Schizosaccharomyces pombe: one gene and its partners. The gene in region 3 interacts genetically with the main gene of each other region. Each region holds a gene or a part of one and is shown on either strand. Other genes may lie near its edges. The genes, in order: ppr8, atp10, SPOM_SPBPB10D8.02C and rog1.

What was found.
Region 1: mutations in SPOM_SPBPB10D8.02C (region 3) and ppr8 together harm fitness less than expected from each alone (positive genetic interaction), as found in Schizosaccharomyces pombe (one large-scale study listed by BioGRID).
Region 2: mutations in SPOM_SPBPB10D8.02C (region 3) and atp10 together harm fitness more than expected from each alone (negative genetic interaction), as found in Schizosaccharomyces pombe (one large-scale study listed by BioGRID).
Region 4: mutations in SPOM_SPBPB10D8.02C (region 3) and rog1 together harm fitness more than expected from each alone (negative genetic interaction), as found in Schizosaccharomyces pombe (one large-scale study listed by BioGRID).

The regions. Positions count from the first base shown.
Region 1 is NC_003423.3:4,393,109-4,397,290, reverse strand, and holds ppr8 (PPR repeat-containing protein Ppr8), read left to right. Parts: upstream 1-1,843; 5' UTR 1,844-1,854; coding exon 1,855-2,034; intron 2,035-2,079; coding exon 2,080-3,345; 3' UTR 3,346-3,681; downstream 3,682-4,182. Other genes in the region: DNA-directed RNA polymerase I and III subunit Rpc40, read left to right, coding at 192-1,238. UniProt on the Schizosaccharomyces pombe protein: Mitochondrial RNA-binding protein involved in mitochondrial translation. The cox1 mRNA is one target but it is not clear if ppr8 has a single or multiple targets.
Region 2 is NC_003424.3:780,805-784,941, forward strand, and holds atp10 (F1-F0 ATPase assembly protein), read right to left. Parts: upstream 2,468-4,137; 5' UTR 2,341-2,467; coding exon 1,999-2,340; exon of another isoform or gene 1,901-1,998; coding exon 1,634-1,900; exon of another isoform or gene 1,533-1,633; coding exon 1,338-1,532; 3' UTR 1,232-1,337; coding exon of another isoform or gene 683-1,231; 3' UTR 543-682; downstream 1-542. Other genes in the region: SPOM_SPAC4G8.09 (leucine--tRNA (Leu) ligase), read left to right, coding at 1-352; SNARE protein Gos1, read left to right, coding at 683-1,231; smp3 (alpha-1,2-mannosyltransferase), read right to left, coding at 3,871-4,137. UniProt on the Schizosaccharomyces pombe protein: Involved in assembly of the mitochondrial F1-F0 complex.
Region 3 is NC_003423.3:82,727-87,315, reverse strand, and holds SPOM_SPBPB10D8.02C (arylsulfatase), read left to right. Parts: upstream 1-1,797; 5' UTR 1,798-1,884; coding exon 1,885-3,549; 3' UTR 3,550-4,087; downstream 4,088-4,589. Other genes in the region: SPOM_SPBPB10D8.01 (cysteine transporter), read right to left, coding at 4,363-4,589.
Region 4 is NC_003424.3:2,561,764-2,567,427, reverse strand, and holds rog1 (lipase), read right to left. Parts: upstream 3,539-5,664; 5' UTR 3,468-3,538; coding exon of another isoform or gene 3,465-3,467; 5' UTR 3,342-3,464; exon of another isoform or gene 3,272-3,341; 5' UTR 3,150-3,271; coding exon 3,122-3,149; intron 3,001-3,121; exon of another isoform or gene 2,958-3,000; coding exon 628-2,957; 3' UTR 558-627; downstream 1-557. Other genes in the region: fatty acid synthase alpha subunit Fas2, read left to right, coding at 1-388; protein Cwf21, read left to right, coding at 3,465-3,467, 3,539-4,417.

The DNA of each region.
Region 1 (4,182 bases), 4.3 Mb from region 3:
GGCAAACTTGAATCGCTAAAAAAATGCTATTTACGCTTCTTCAAGTGCTCTACTACTATTGTCAGTTAATTTGCAATGTCTTACTTTTATTCGCACTATCGTGTTTACCACACAATAGCGAATTTTTACGCATATAAAGGTTTTAAAAGTTTATATTGCAACTTCTCACCGTTTTTTTCATAAAATTAAAAATGGCAGCGGTTGACAGATCAAGGACAGAAATCTCTGTCCTTTCTGATCGTGTTACAGATGTAGGAAGTGTAGATTTTCCAGGTTATTATTTTGATGAAGACAACATCTGGGATCTTGATAAATTTAAAAAAAATTTAAAAGTTTCGATTACGTCTCTCGATCAAGAAACAATGGTATTTGAAATTTCTGGAATTGATGCATCCATTGCAAATGCATTTAGGAGGATTTTAATCGCCGAGATCCCAACTCTTGCATTTGAGTTCGTGTATATCATAAACAATACGAGCATAATACAAGATGAGGTTTTGTCTCACAGAATAGGTCTTGTACCTATATCTGCTGATCCTGACATGTTTAAATGGTTTCAACATCCTCTGCCAGGACAAGAGGCAACTCATACTGATTACGATACTGTTGTCTTTTCCCTTAATAAGAAATGCGAGTTTAATAAGAATGCCGCTACAGATGAAAAAGATCCAAAGAGACTTTACGTTAACTCTGAGGTTTATTCGGGTGATCTAATTTGGAAACCGCAAGGTCGACAGGAAGAGCGATTTGCTGACAATCCTATACGAGTAGTCAACCCAGATATTGTTGTTGCAAAATTGCGTCCTGGCCAGGAAATCGATTTAGAAGCTCATGCAATCTTAGGTATTGGACAAGACCATGCTAAGTTTTCTCCTGTTGCTACTGCCTCCTACCGCTTATTGCCTACTATACATATCTTGTCTCCTATTGAAGGTGAAGATGCAGTTAAATTTCAAAAATGCTTCCCTAAAGGAGTCATCGAGCTTGAAGAAGGACCTGATGGTAAAAAACAAGCCCGTGTAGCAGACGTTCGAAAAGACACCGTATCCCGCGAATGCTTGAGACATCCCGAATTTGCAGATAAGGTGCAATTAGGCCGCGTACGCGATCATTATTTGTTTTCTGTTGAAAGCACCGGTATTATGAAGCCCGATGTCTTGTTCATTAAAAGCATTGCAGTCCTAAAATCGAAATGTCTAGCCGTAAAGTCTAGTCTTCAGAATATTTCTTCTGACTGAATGTCTGTTAAATTAGTTTTATATGTAATCTTTTGGATAATTGGGTACGCTGTTAAAAAATATACTTTTGAAAGTTATTGATTTCTATATTTCAATATTAACATTTTGTCCTTTCTTTAATTTTAAATTTAATTCATCATAGACATGTATTTTGTTGATAACCAGTAGACCTTTTAAAAAGAAGTGTTGGTTTTCAATCACTACTTGCCATCCTTTGAAAGTCCTTATAAAATGCTTTGAGAATTTATATGAAAGCGACGCCTTTAATTGATGCAACTGAAAAAATTACTTTTCATTATATTTTTACAGGGATTTTGAAGTCCTATCTATTAAATTACCTAAATTAAACTAGACTGATTGTATAAATTTTAAAAATATTGTAAATGCCGGTTTTAACTAATTTGCAAAGAATGTGCCTAAGCATGCAGCAGAGTCTTAGTTAAGTTGCTTTGTTACTACATGATTGAACTATTATAGGAAAAGAAAAATAAAATAGAATCAGTTCTAACATATTCAGGAAACGCCATTTTGCTGATCTTTTCTAGATCAATCCTGACTGAGTAGAGAGTAGCCACAACATGACTCAGCAACAACAAACTTACCCCAAGCGTATACCATGCAAGGATTTGGGAGCCAAATTTTTCGGAAATTGCTGCGTAGTAGTAATGCTAAAGTGTCAGATGCACTTTTACAAAATACGCGTACCCTTTTCACCGCTCCGCCTTTACATTCTGGGTTACAAACTTCATTCACCGCTGAAACTCAACAACATGTAAGGCAGAATTCTCAAAATTTGGTATGTAAAGGCTGATGTTTCCACCTTTTTCTAACAGGTAAATAGCTGAAACAATTAAATGATGAAATGAAGGCGCGCAAGTATACGGAAACCGTTGCTACTTTCAGCAGCCTGAAACCATTTGGCATTTTAGATAGTCAAACCATTAATAGATACATTTTGTTTTTGGTAGATCGGATTAAAATGCTCAATGGGAGAGGTAATGTAGATGAAGCTACTCTCGACAAACTTGATGATATACTTCGATATGCAATTGAACACCAAGAGATTGCCTCTGCTAGGTTTTGGCGAATTATGCTCCAATCATATATCGACCTAAACCTTTTTGACAAGGCTTCATTAATTGCTGATATGAGCTTAAGCCATATGGAGTTTTTACCTAAAGATGAACGAGTTTTAGGCAACCTCTACATCTCAGCACTTCAAGCTAAGATACTTGGAGGTGCCAGTTTTGAACAGTGTGGAAAAATAGGTTCAGCCATTCACGAGCAACTTGAAGGGAAAGAAGTTGTAAATGAATTGGTTGCTGTGTATTTGATTTATACTGTTTTCAAAGATCAAGGTATTAGCAGTAAAGCTCATAAAGCTTTAGTTCAATTTAACGGACTAACAAGTTTTCACTCCGATGTCATTATTTCAGTGTTTGTCAACAAAGGTCTCGTCGATCAAGCTGCTGCTTATCTGAAAAATTCTAATCTTAACGAAAGAAATCTACCAACGATCTATACAACCGTTTGGTTACTTCAAAGACTTTTTGAAGCACACCATTCTCTAGATCCTTTGCTAACTATTTTCGATTATTATCTTTCAGTGTCACCCAAAGATATCACTCGTTTGACAAATGCTATTTTAAGTCTTTCAATGAAGCAATTTGAACGAGATCGGGATATTAAAAAGGCTACCGACTTTATCACTACGTTTATCAACAAGATGTCAGATGTAAAGGAGTTCAAACCATCCATTAGTACTGCCAACACCTTGTTCTCTATTGCTAGTCGTTTAAAGGATGTAAAATGGCTTTCTGCTGGATTTGATATGATAGACAAGTACGGGTTAAAGCCTACTCATGTCACTTATCGGTCATTATTGAAAGCATACTGTTTATTGCCAAGCACATGTGAGCAAATTTCGCAGGCTTGGGTAAATCTTGAGTATCGTCTTGAAGCTATTTCCATTTCTGTTGCAGATAAAGAAATAAATCTCCTAAAGGACTGCATTCTATCTCAACCTGACAGAGATGATCAACAAAGTTGCCTGCAATTTCTGAATATGGTGCTATCAAAATACGGTAAACATATACGTTCGCCATAAATTTTTTTGCACTTTGGATAATCTCATATAGTTCTTCCTTTTAACGAGATTACGATTAAATGTGTACATCACAGCCATATTACCTGCATGCATTAAAGTTCAAAAGTGTTCACTCCCATCTTTTAATATGTCCCACACTTTCACAAATTGAGTTATTTATTTTATTTAGGAACGTTTCGGTGGTGATTTTTGATTTTCGTTTTATGAAGTTACCTGGATGGGTTTAATTGTTTACCTCTTTGATATTTGTTAATTTTCCTTAACGTACATACTCCTTTCTGTTTTTTGCTATAGCCATCTTTTATATTAAATATATATTTTTTTATTCCAGATACAGGTTTTGTGTTCGTCTTAATAGTTTAGCATCTAAAAACACCTGTTTATTCTCAAGAGATATGGATAGTTTGAAATACTTAGAAGCTTTGCCTGGTTTATGACAAGTACGAAAAGTAAGGGATTTAAACCGCGCTAAGTTATGCTGTTAAAGACAGCTTTAAACGAATATTAGAGGATATTTTTCCCGGTATTTGTAGGTATGTCTTGCTAGTGGAAAATTTGTAAGTTAAATTATTATCACTATATTTTAATGCTTTATATGCACTCAAACAGCTGGGGTCGGTGTATGTCATTGTATTAATGTGAGACCAAAGTGCTTTATTGTACTCTATGAATCACAAATTTTGCTTTACATTAAAGTATTAGTTTAAATTTTAACTGCTTATCTCGCAAAAAATACGCTGCCTAGAAAATATACTAAGTTTAAAATAGTAATTCATTTAGGTATGGTGGTTGTTAAAAAGAGCATATAAATAGAAAAATTTGATGTTTTGAAAGTAA
Region 2 (4,137 bases), on a different chromosome or scaffold from region 3:
CAAAGTCAATATCGGAACAATTAAAGCATCTTTGGAAGTGCTTGTGAAATGTATTGCTCCAATAATACCTTGTTTTTCAAGTGAGTGTTGGTTGCTGCTAGGACATAATTCTTCCGTTTACTCTAACTGGCCCATTTCCAAAAATAAAAAGGAGAATATGGAGGAGCCCGTTACTATTCCTGTCCAAATTAATGGTAAGGTGAGATTTAAGATTGAAATGCCCAAACTCAATGATGAAAATGAAATACTAAATTTTGTGCTTGAGACGAATGATGGGAAACGTTGGCTCTCTAATAAAAAAGTTTTAAAATCTTTTGTGAAACAAAAAATCATCAGTTTAGTCACCGACTGAAAGTTGGTTGAGACACGAGCTTCATGTTTCAAAATAATTTTGATATTTACCATAACAATGCAATGTTGGTTGCGTAGTTAATTTAATGCTTAAAATTCATTTTGAATGAAAAATATCCTATCTTAATATCACAATGTTTTCTAGTAGCATAGCTTTTCTATCACTGGTATATTTAGGAATCTCTACGTAGTGGGATACTTCTCTAAACTACATACTAGTAAGAACGTCATCTGAAAGCCACATTAATCAACAGAAGAGAAACGTTTGTTTTAAAATCATAACTTAAGCTACTAATTTTTCTCTTATAAAAATTTGAAGATCTCTTTAGCCATGAAGTCTATGCTTTTGAGAGATTCGGTGAAAAAAGCGTCTCAGTTCCAAAGATCGTTGCACAGTGATCCTAACCAAGCTAAAATTCTGCTAGAGGAAAGAAGGAAGCTTCTTGAAGAAGCCAACTCTTCAGCTGACGAAAATGACTCGCATTCAATGGCTACTATCAAATCACATTTTGAAAGACTAAAACGAGATGAGCAACTTCTTAATGGCGTTTTGAAAAAATATGATGCGAAACAGGAAGTTCTATCTCCTGAAGAATTACGAGATGCACAAAACTTTTTAGAAATGCAAGAGGCAAACTCTTTAGACAATTCTATTAGAGGCACTAATGAGCTTCTTGAAAGAGCTTATGCTACGAGGGAAGACTTTGATTACCAAAATAGCGTCTTAGGAAATGTGACCAATCGCATAAACGGGGCGGCCATGTCAATCCCTTTTATTAATCAAATATTAAGGAAAACCTCGATCCGTCGAAGACGTGATTCTATCATTTTAGCTTTACTCATATCTGTCTTGATGCTTTTGTTCCTTTTTTTTCATTAAGTTGCATGTTTTATGAAACGTTTATGAAGGGCATTGATCCCGCCAAAGTTATGAATATGTCATAAAGGTTTAATTAAGATGAAATAATATAAAAGTCCTTTTACTTTTAACCAACGTTTTTATTTACCAAAAACTTAATCGCTGTCTTCAGGTTTTCAATTTCGACATTAGTTGGATCACCGGTTCCAAGCCAGCGAATTTTGCAGGAATCGTCAATTAAATACACATTTCCAACAAGTTTGTTGTTCCATCCTATTTCTGGGAAACTGAACTTATTGTCGTATGCTGTAATATATTCATTCTGCTAGTTAGCAAAAGGTTATAAATTTTGGAAGTAAATAAATCTATCTTATCAAGCGAACAAACTTGTGAGCAGCTTGGACAAATAATGCGTCTACTTACCCAGCACTTTTCTGGTATTGATCTTTTAACTTTTCCTATAAATATCTTCTGTAGCCAATATTTTATTAGATTGGATTGAACATTTGCATAACGAACTGGCAGATAATCAAATGGAGCTAGATGTTGAATCCAATTCCTACATTGGTTTTCTCCAAACGCGTTGCTAAATAATGCAAAGAAAAAGGGCGAGCCTTGCCAATCTTTATATAGCTCTTTGTACTGATTTCGTAATGACTTCCCATGAAAGTTGTACATCCATAAGGCGCTCTAAAACGTGTCAATATTTTTAAGCAATAAACTAATTTTTTTTCATTCTTATTTGAAATTTCCAGAAATGAATATTACTTTTAACCAATTGTTCATACCTTCTCCTTAAATAATCTTGGAGGACTGTAAAACAGCTTACCATTAAATCGACGAACTTCGTTGAAATCTTGAATAGTTGATCTCTTCATTTCATTCAGCAGCTCCTTCTGTCTTTGCTCAGGAGAAGATGTACTCGCGGGTTTGGTAAGTTTTTCCCATAATGTTGGCTTTTGGACTTCAGAAAGCATCGTCGGTTTTACCAGTAAACCTACTGGAATGAGAGCAGATGGGGCTTTTTCTTTTGTATCATTGAGACTTTTGGTGCTAAAAGAACGCAACTTGAACTGATGCTTAACAATCAACCTCGGAATGACTAAATTTTTTAAATAATTATATGCCATGTTTACCAATTATAGGTAGATTAAAGGGGAAATAATCTTTAATTTATTATGCGATTTAAGAAACGCAAGGATGAACTTAATTATTATTATAAACTTCAATAGATAGGTATAGCAGAAAGGAGCTGTTGTTACAGGTGGAAGTACTCTGACGTTAAAAATTCATATCTTAATTTTCATTTTGGTTTTTTAATTTGTTTTTGGACATTAGTATATATCTACGATAAAGGTTTTCTCCTTTTAATTTCATTGTAATATAATTCAAGACTAAAATTGGCTTTTCATTGGATTGCGAATCTTTCATTGAATACTATCTTTTCAACTTACATTGAACGTGCATGTAAGGATAGGAAATGGAATGCTGAGATAATGAACAATACAAACCTTTCTAATTAATTCAATGTTTAAAGCAAACTCATTTAGCGAAAAATTCTAGCTTATTAAAACAGCTGTCAACCAGGGCGTAGAGATTACAATATAAAGACCTTACTTACCCTTCTTAATGTACTACAATACAAAATCATAGTTAAAAGAGTAGCTTTTTACGTCCCTGCCGACTGTTTATGTAGATGCATGAAAAACTATGAGAATATAATTTAGTAATCGTTTATATAAGCTAATACGCATTAATATTATATTAATTCATAATGCTTAAAAATCAAAGCAATTTCAATTTCCAAGTGGGTTAGAAAGTACTAATGGGGGGTCCATATTCTCTTTAAGACATTACTCACTTGAATAGCAATTATGACTTCGTCTACTACCTCAAGTACTATGTGGGGGGGTTGACCACTTATGAAAGTGAACCTACTAAAGTAGTTAGTGATACAAAAAAATAACTAAGTGCGCAATAATTCTCCGTCAACAAATAAATCGTTGAACTAGTATTAGTATATTGGCGTATGTAAGCTAATATAGTCGTTGTTTGCGTAAAACGAATTCAAATGGCTCCCAATCTGTGTTAATACGTTATGTTATGTATGATATAAGCACATTGAACATATCGGGATGAGTCAGTACTATTTTATTATTAACAAAATTGGTTAGAATTGAATATGACAAGTTGAAGACTCAATCAGCTAAGTTTTGTCATAGATCGGATCGGAACAGGCGATTAACAGTGTTGTGCTGAAGAAAATAGACAACAATATGATCAATAGAATCAACATATAACAATTAATCATCATTCATCGAACGAATGCAAGCTTCGCGATTAAATAACCGCGAAAGATTTAGTGAACTAAATATTCTCTCAGCTTTTCATAAATAAATTAAAATTAAAACCCAAATATATTAGAAAAAAAATTAAACAAATGCCAATGAATTTAACAATTAGATCAGTTTACTTAATAAAAGTTAAGTATTGAACTTTCTGACCCTTAAAACAATAAAGAAGGATTAACAATAAGGATACGAAACATTTCAAGAAAACGGTAACTTCTAATCGCAATTGCTGCAGTATTAAAATGTAGCATGACGAGCGAATCTCAATCTTAAGAGTACACAACGAGGCAAAATGATTTTTTTATGTTGCTATCCCACACTTCTCAATACCGTTGGTAACTCATTAGTAATAGTGTTATTCTCACAAATCTCCTTAGCGGTGAAAATTCCAATTCCATGATTCATAATCAATTCTGCTAGGGGTAACTCATCAGTGTCATCTAAATCAACGTGATAAGGGATGTAATGCAGCATAGTCAAATTTTGAAGATAACTGCTTGTTTGTAGCATAGCAACAGGACACACTAATAAAGTGGATGCTTGAAACTCGGTTGTGTTTTCTTCAGGCAAATTGAC
Region 3 (4,589 bases):
AATAAATATTTATATGCCTATACTAGTAGCACTTTACATGCCGCTACATTATATATAAAAGTGAACAGCCAATTAATTTTGCTTTTTAATCATTTCCAAGTCATTTAAAATTCCTTGCAATAATAAGCGTATATGGGAATGTAGTTAGCACAATTACTTGCTTCGGCTCAGACAACCTATTATTATAATACAGCTTATTTTATAATAATATTATTAGCTTTTTACCCATCGAACACAAATGAAAACATGCTAAGAAAAGGAATGTTTAAACAAAATTATTATAGTCATAATCTAGGATGCATTTACCGAGTAACAATGACAACTTAACACGTGTAAATTCTAATTTGTAATTAAAACGATTTGCTATTACTATTTAAATGTAAACCAAGTTTGAATACATCCGATATAATAATGAGTAAAAAGAAAATAGTGGGTGCTGCTCAATAAGTTTACACTTTAACATAATATCAGACCAAATCTGATAAATATGAATTTACGTAACTCTTTTGATATAATTTGAATTCACTTATAATTGCAATTGATAGTACCAAAAGTGCGTTGAAGGGAAATGATGTATGGATTGTTTGAGAATGTTACATCTTTTCTCGGATCCAACATTACGCAAAGATCCTTTCTGTACAACAACTTAATCCTTTAACTTTACAAGTTCCTACAATTGAAACAAGTTGTTTTTGTATATTGTGAATGTCTTAAGATGTTCTTTATCTGTATTTTTTAACAATTGGTCCACTATTTTTGAACTTAGGAAGTCTAATTATTGGACGGCCCTTAGTTACGGAAACAATTTACCAAGAAAAAAATCTTCAGATATATAGCATTAAGCTTTATTATGATACATCTCGATACTTTTATACTCTTCATATCTTCATATATATTACGTCCACTAATCGAGATTATTAAATTCCAATTGTAATAATTAAGTATTATTTTAATTTCAAACGAAAAGAGAATCCGAGGTCAGTTGTAAATTAATTATTACCACTTAGTATGAAAATATTCGTGTCTGATATTTCATATCAATAAGACAATACAAAGGACCAAAACGTAATTTTAATCGCAGTTTACCCCCATTAAATTGTATGAAATTCGTATCACTCAACAAATCTAGGTATAAATATGATTTTTCTCAGTTATTGTCAAAAGCAAAATGTTATTATATCTAATTTATCTCATAGAAAATATGTTGAATCTTCCACTGACATTTCTCGTTGAAAGTTCAAAATAACGAAAATCGACGTCCTTGTTAATTATCATTTGGTATCTTTTAGAAAATTAATGTTTTCTTATATGTATAAAGCTTCAAAATCTATTTAGGTTCCTTTGTAGTATATTACCGAAACCGATTTTTTCTAGAGTAAAGCATTTATTGATATAAAGATCAATTAATATAATTTGGCGAGTGTTTAAATATTTTCACATATTTTCCTTTGGGATTGATAACTCAATTAATATTTCCTTGATAAATAAAAAAAAAAAGTCAATTCCTGGTCAGTAAACTCAGTTTTGCACATATTGAGTGAGTGACAGTAATTAGTTTTAAACTTGATTTACTGAATCTTATCTCTAAAATATTCAGATAAGTAAATTACAGTTTGATCCAGTAAATTGGAATGTATGAGTATCTTTTTTAATATGGATGATGTTACTCAAAGCTTACGTGATAGCACGCCATACTTCTTCATTAGGTATTTGTAATTTTGCAATCTATTACGGAAGACAATTGTTGCAAATATATTTTTTCATATTTTAATCAACTTGTGGGCTGTCTCTTGTCTCACATGCCCTTTATGAACATAAAATAAAAATTACAGTTTGAGCTGCATAAAAATTTATTCGCAATCAAAAAAAATTTGAATAGTAACTATGGCTTTTAATAAACAAGCTGAATCTAAAAAACCAAACTTTTTGGTCATCGTAGCTGACGATCTTGGATGGTCAGATGTTTCTCCGTTTGGAAGTGAAATACACACTCCAAATATTGAGAGGCTTGCAAAGGAAGGTGTACGGTTGACAAACTTTCATACAGCCTCTGCTTGCTCGCCTACTCGATCTATGTTATTAAGCGGTACAGACAATCACATAGCAGGTTTAGGGCAAATGGCAGAGACAGTACGCAGGTTTTCGAAAGTATGGGGTGGAAAGCCTGGGTACGAAGGCTACCTAAATGATAGAGTTGCTGCATTACCAGAGATTCTACAGGAAGCGGGTTACTATACCACAATGTCTGGAAAGTGGCACCTTGGACTAACCCCAGATCGTTACCCTTCAAAGCGAGGATTTAAAGAATCTTTTGCACTTTTACCTGGAGGTGGTAATCATTTTGCATATGAACCTGGTACTAGAGAAAACCCTGCTGTACCTTTTTTACCACCATTGTATACCCACAATCATGATCCTGTTGATCACAAAAGCTTAAAAAATTTTTATTCGTCCAATTACTTTGCAGAAAAATTAATTGATCAGTTAAAAAATCGTGAAAAATCCCAGTCATTTTTTGCTTACCTCCCATTTACAGCACCTCATTGGCCGTTGCAATCACCAAAAGAATATATTAATAAATATCGTGGACGATATAGTGAAGGCCCCGATGTGTTACGAAAAAATCGCTTGCAAGCCCAAAAGGATTTGGGACTTATACCAGAAAATGTAATTCCAGCACCTGTAGATGGAATGGGAACCAAGTCATGGGACGAACTAACAACAGAAGAGAAAGAATTTTCTGCGCGAACGATGGAAGTTTATGCTGCAATGGTCGAATTATTAGATTTGAATATTGGTCGTGTTATTGACTACTTGAAAACTATTGGAGAACTTGACAACACATTTGTTATATTTATGTCAGACAACGGTGCAGAAGGGTCAGTTTTGGAAGCAATCCCGGTATTAAGCACAAAACCACCGGTTAAGTATTTTGACAATTCACTGGAAAACTTGGGTAATTATAATTCATTTATTTGGTACGGACCAAGATGGGCACAGGCTGCGACCGCTCCTTCTCGACTTAGCAAGGGTTTTATTACAGAAGGTGGTATTCGATGTCCTGCTATAATTCGCTATCCTCCATTGATCAAGCCAGACATCATCTCCGATGAGTTTGTTACGGTTATGGATATCCTGCCAACCATCCTTGAGTTAGCAGAAGTCCCTCACCCAGGGCACAAATTTCAAGGACGAGATGTTGTAATCCCCCGTGGGAAACCTTGGATTGACCATTTTGTGCATGGAAAACCCGTACACAAAGATACTGACTTTAGCGGCTGGGAACTTTTCGGGCAAAGAGCTATCAGAAAAGGAAATTATAAGGCAATATATGTACCTAAAGAAGGAATAAAAACAGAATGGGAGCTGTATGATCTTTCCCAGGACAAAGGTGAGCTTGAAAATCTAGCGAAAGTCCATCCAGATATTCTAAACGAACTCATCGAGTATTGGTTGGTCTACGAAGCTGAAACTGGAGTAGTAACAGCCCCAGACGATTTTGTTGCCGAAAACGTCGGTTTGTTCAAACCAGCTAAGCACAATCTTTAATGATTATTCATGATATTGAATTTTACAATAATTTTTTACTGTTAATGAAACACCACATAGCAGTTTATTAATGGTAAAAAACTTATTGCAAATATGGAACTCGGGTTCAGCTAATTGTTTAATTTAATGGGCTATTTCCAGTCTTTTACTTATTAAACACCACAGTTTAAAGATTATAAAATCTAATAATAGCTGATTTCATCTATCAACGTATATATGCTAAGTTACCAATTGATTCAATGTTTTTTAAATATGATAATCTACAGCGAAAATTATCAGATGGAATGCAAAGCCGAGCTGAAAAATTTAACTGGTTTGGATTTCCCCTACGTATTAGGCTTTATAATTGATATAAAAATACTTTTTTAGAACATCTCTTTTTCAATCGCAACTTTGCAGCAAAGTAAACTATGAGAAACCATTGGGGATAAAAATCGACCTCCATTTTATTTAGCAATGAATGCTAGTTCTTCTTTTCAATCTATGTAAATAGTAACTGAATAAAGCTTTCAGCAATATATACAAACAAAATTTCAAACTATTCTTCGCTAAAGACGAAGATTACTATTAAAGGTTAGGAATCCTAAAGGAAACAAAAAAACAAGTAAATAAAGCAACTGTCTTGTAGTAGTCTAAAATAAGTTAAGAGTTTACGGGCAAGTAGTTTAAAAATACAAAATTTTGCAAAAAAAAAAGCAAATAGTAGAAGGATTTTTCATGACTGTTGGGAATTTGAAATTATTTTGTAAACATTTCTCATGAATACTTCAAAAAGTTATTTTTTAAGATTTATTCCTTCGTTTAAATGGATAATTATAAGGGATAAATAAACGATAGGTTCTCCTGGTCTGTCAAATCAAGCATAGAATTTTCGTAAAAACCGGAAACGTGATTTCCAGAAGAATCAATCGTCTCAATCCAAGTCTTTTCATACTGTTCTTTATTCTGCTCAAGAAGAGCAAGGCGCTTTTTGTTCCTTCGAACAAGAATCCAGCGAATGATCAGCAATACAAAGGGAGAAACAGACCAAGCAATTACTA
Region 4 (5,664 bases), on a different chromosome or scaffold from region 3:
AACAACCTCATTGACCAACTCCAATGAAAATGTTGGCGTGGATGTTGAACTTGTATCAGCGATTAGCATTGATAATGAGACCTTTATAGAAAGGAATTTTACTGATACCGAGCGAAAGTACTGTTTTGCAGCTCCTAATCCCCAAGCTAGCTTTGCCGGACGTTGGTCAGCCAAAGAGGCTGTCTTTAAGTCTTTGGGTATTTCCGGTAAAGGCGCTGCAGCTCCATTGAAGGATATCGAAATTATTTCTTCAGAGTCTGGTGCTCCTGAAGTAGTTTTGCACGGAGAGGCTGCGAAGGCTGCAACGACCGCCGGTGTGAAGAGTGTTTCCGTCAGTATTTCCCACGATGATAATCAAAGTGTCAGTGTTGCTTTGGCTCACAAGTAATTTACGTTATATTGTCTTTCAACATTGGTATGCGGATTTTCGCATTCCCTTCAATCGTTTGATTTAATACACTATCTTTAATCTTTTTGTTTACCTCAAATGCTTTGAAATGGTTATCGATTTTTGTAGTCGTTATATACGCAGTTAGAAATAAATTACTTTTAACCTTATAAATTATTATGCTCTAAAAAAATGCAGTATCATTAAATTTAAACGAATGTCTTAACACGTATGAGTATTTAAACTGATATTGAGTTATCTTCATAAATTTCTGAAAGCCAGGCAGCGGTTGTTGTTTCATCGAAAGAAATGGGGTTCATATATGCTGTTGAAGTGTTTTGCTCGAACAAAATTTCAGTTAGATGCTTAATCACTGTCCAACCGTAAGCATTCGGAAACCGCCTACGAACAATCATGGTATTGTGCGCATCACCATCGAGTCTAACAGCAACCTTTCTCCACGCAAGCCTATGCCAGTTTTTGGCAATAGTAATTTCGTTAGACAAAAAACCATTATTCATGTTGTTTAGCTCAGTAATTCCATCAAAAGTAGAAAAAGAGGCAGCTGGATCATGGACATTATCAGATACAACAACTTTATGCAGATGATATTTAAAAAAGTAAGAATCTGTCGGAACAGCTGGGATAAACAAATTTGTAAAAGTGTTGACAACTCGTTGTGCAACTCCTGAAAACGTGGAAGTTGGATCTAATTTAGGGGCTGAGCAAAAAAATTGGTTTGAAGAATTTGAGACATCTAATTCATCTGAGCCAAGACAATTGGGTTCAGTAGGCTTCCTAGCATTTTCATCCTCATTTTTTACTAATGGAATTTCAGTATCTGTAGTTTTGGATGCCGAATAACTGAACAATCCTACAAAGGATTTAAGAGCTTTAGAAAATGAAGATCCAGATTCTTCTGAAGAAGCATGGATTTTCTTTGCATTATCTCCGACACTTTGAACTGTTTGCTCATTTTCTTTTAGTGTTGGTGAAATGCCATTTTCCATATGCGTAGGCATAACCTTATCTGAACCCTCAGCTTCCTCTACCTTACCCAAAGAACTAACTTCCATTGCGCTAGTTCCAAAAGGGACGATATAGTCATTGGTAGTATTTGCAAATAATATTCTTTTTTCAAAAAACGAAACAGCTTGAAAGAAAGGCGTGGAAGGATCAGACATCAAAACAAGGAAAGGTCTTGATTCAATGGAGTGATTCAGTGGAGTTAAAGATAAGTCTTGTCCTGTCTTACCAATGATACCATAGGACAAAGCCTTACCAATATAAGAAGGATGTTCACCAGCAACACCGAGCCAAGGAGTTGCCAAAGTTACAAAAAACACAGGGTGAATAGCCTGAAAAAAGGCACCGTGCGTTTTTGCATGTACATAACCAACAGCATATGTTTGAACCAATCCACCAAGTGAGTGGGCGACAACTGATATATGGGAATATCGAGGAAAAGATGCACTTCCCCAGCCCGTAATATCCAACAGCCATTCACCAAGTCGTTTACCCAGCCAGCGAACCCCTTTCTCAGTCTGACAGTAGTTACCGGTAAATCCTCGAACAACTACTAGTTCCTTAACAGATTTTGATGATTCTATTAGTTTTTCTTTTAAATACTCCATATCAGCACCAACATTAGAATGCATTCCATGAGTTAGCACCACCAAATGTGAATTCTTTGAATGAAATGAAGAATACGGAAGACGCCATAAATTTTCCGGAGTTTGATGTTCAACGTGTAGAGCAGGGAATGCATGAAGAGTATCGATATCAGCAGCTGACATGGCTCGAATGGAATGTTGAGATTGCGATATAGCAAGCTCAAAGTTAATAGATCTATCTTTAAAAATCGCCTGACTTGCAATTTCAATGTAAATAGGCTGCTGATTGGAAAAACATGAATAAGGTACACAGACCCAAAAACTAGTAGAGGGCTGTACCTGAGGATCAAAGTTTAATAAAGAATTTTTTTCATCAAAAAATTGGTCATTCCAAACGCTAACGCATAATGTAAATGGACCTTGAAGATAGGCTGCCTGGCGGAAACGTGCTTCTCTATTCCTGACACGAATCCAAAGTACCGAGTTAGTCGAATTTATGAAGGGAGCTGTAGAGTCGCTTCCTGCCAAGGGATTTTTTACTTCACGAAGATTAATAGAAGAGAATGAAGTACCTACAGAAGGAGAAGAAGAGGTATGAGAGACACCTCTTGTTTGTTCAGGTATGTTGATTGCATTGGTATTATCTGTAAACGCACCAACTTTATGATAATCTTTTGAAGAAGATGAAAAATCGCTGGAAAGAAGAGGTGAGGATTCTGAATTTGCATGCTTCGGATTCGTGCTACTATTATTCTCTGAGATTTGCTTGCTGATATTCTCCCCACTAGAGATTGTCATCCCACCTGAACCTGCTCTATCCTCGATGCTACCACTCTCTTTCTTAGTCACTGAATTGAGGTTCACAGTGGGGGGCACAGTTGTAGAAGACGTTGCCGAATGCAAATTGCCCCCACTCTGCACAAAAATTCGAAATCGATGTATTTGACCTAAACCAACTGTACCATGCCAATGTTAGAACAAGTATTAAATATTTATATGCCATCCCAAAATTTTTGCATCGAAACAAGCATAACAAATCGAAACTTTAAATAACGAGCTGATAATATCAACTTGCAAATACAATTTAAAGGAGTGGTAAATTTTGTTTAAAGTAACTTACCGTCATCTCGTTGTACATATACATTCATAATGTCAGAAGTCAAGCGATGACAACTCAAAAACTAGTAAATCTGAAAATTAGCTATTCGTGAAAGGTGAGAGATATCAATTATTTTTCAATACCGGTCAACGAATAGGGATAAAATTTTATCTGTTTCAATTAGTAAATCGCTAGTTGCTCATATCACGTAAAAAGTAACGCGAATTTATCAGTGTCCTACCGGTAAAATTTGTTCGCTCGATTCCTTTGTTAGACTAGCTGTTCGACGAACCTATATAAACTCAGTTTTTCTAATTTTTGAGCAAAAGCAAAAATCGAACGACTTCACGGGAAATAAAGCAAGATGGTAAGAGATGCATAAAAAGCTTTCTTTAATGAAGAAGACACCAAAATTGAGTCCTTTGCTAACAATTAAAGTCGTATAATGGAATTGGATTACCCACTCCAAGAGGATCAGGAACAAATGGATACGTAATGCGGAATCTGTCTCACGTAAAAAAATATGACAAAAATACAAATCTACAGTCAAATCGAAATGCAAAAGCTCTGGAAAAACGGGTTCAAGATCCTTCAATAAGCGAGCATGAATGCCGTCGACAAATTGAGTCGAAGTTGTTGTTGTACAGAGAGCAGTTGTTGGAGGAGGTCAGTTCCCAACACAGCACTGATGCAGCGGCATCTGATTCCAATACAAATTTTGGGACTGAAAACCCGAAGCCACCTAAAGCAATTATAAAAGATGAGCAATCACAATCGAAAACTAAATCTTTAGATGAAGCTGATGTAGAAATTTTAGTACAAAAATATCGAGAACAGTTACTTAAAGAATTGCAATTACAAAAATCTACTGAAAAAGGAAAAAATTTTGAATCCATTCTTCAACCTCAGAAAAGAAAAGAAACAAGAGGATTTCACTCGAAAAATGACGATGATGGGCGATTAGAAGAAAGAGACGATTTGAGATCATCAGTTGACGATGATTATTATGATTACCCGCGTTATTCCGAGAGGAAATCATTAAATTCAAAAAGGCATGTGGACAATTACAATGAAAATAGAAGAAGACATTACGATTCGTATTCCTCCTACGATGAATTAGAAAGACGACGGAGTAGTAATGAAAGTTACTCAAGGCGTTCTGAATTACCCAGAAGAGATTATAATAGACACGATGAACGGGAAAGGTATTCTTATCATAGAAGGAGAGAAAGAAGCAATTCACCCTCCTATACGAAGAATGAGTCAATTCCTGTTGTGGACAGGGATTCCTCTCCTGAGGGTGGCGAAATTGTATGAGGCCCAAAGAGTTAGGCCAGTTAAAACAATAATATAATAGGCAATTCATGCAAGCATGTATTGTTTATTAATATTGGATAATTATTCGGGTCATCAACAATCGTTGGATTAATATGAATATTTGGTTAGCAATACACGTTAGTCAAATCCCATGAAGCACACGACTGTTCAATGATATAAAAAATATTATTCTTCAAAGAAAAAATACTATCGACTTTATATTAAGGCTGTTAAGTTGCACGATTTAAACATCATTTGATATTTTTCTTTTTCACGGAGGGATAATGAAGCAATTTTAAATTTACAATTACGCTTTTACATTTGTATTTTAAATTCATTAATTAAGCATAAAAGAATCTTTTTAATAAAGATTTTCGAGATTATTCACGCGATTTTAGTCAAAGTAGCTCTTGGCGGCTTTGTTTTCCTGCATACTGTAAATCTCAGAGCTTTTATACCAATAATGTTTATTATATATATTTTACAAAATGAACTTGCTTTAAAGCAATATTAATTATATAATAAAACCAATTTATAAAAAAAATTATAATATAAGTTTAATTATAAATAATACAATTTTTATTTTCTGATGATCTTCGGATCACTTTGGTCAAATTGAAACGATACAGAGAAGATTGTAAGTAACAATATTTACCAAGGTTCGAGTCATACTAACTCGTTGTTTAGAGCATGGCCCCTGCACAAGGATGACACTGCGACATTGAGAGAAAACCCATTTTTTTTTCTAAACAAAATTAATCATACATTCAAATCTTGATTTCCAATCGCTTTAACTTTTTTAAAATAAATATCTATTGTTTCATATAACTTTCAATTTCCTAGATACTACAGTACATTAAACACGTATTACAACTTCTTGCTAAGTCGCAAAGCATTAATTAATTAGTTTTCTGTAGATAATTGAAAAGAAAAAAAACATTTTTTCATCGAAATTTTTTATTGGACAGGTAAATATATTTAACGCGATTACTCTATCGAAATCTGAATTAAAAACTAGTTAAAAATTTTCGACTAGCTTGTTTGTTACTATCGCCAATATACCAAGCTTTGTTCACAAAGCAATTGACTAGATGTAGGTTCATATAGCATATTATACGAATTGGCAGCATCAATGGGTAGGAACAGTGAGCTCGTATTTCACTTTAACGTCTCAAACGGAGCAAAGTTAGCCTCTTCTAAACATTATCAGCATTGGTCATTCCTGACTCCCTTCTATGTTCATATAT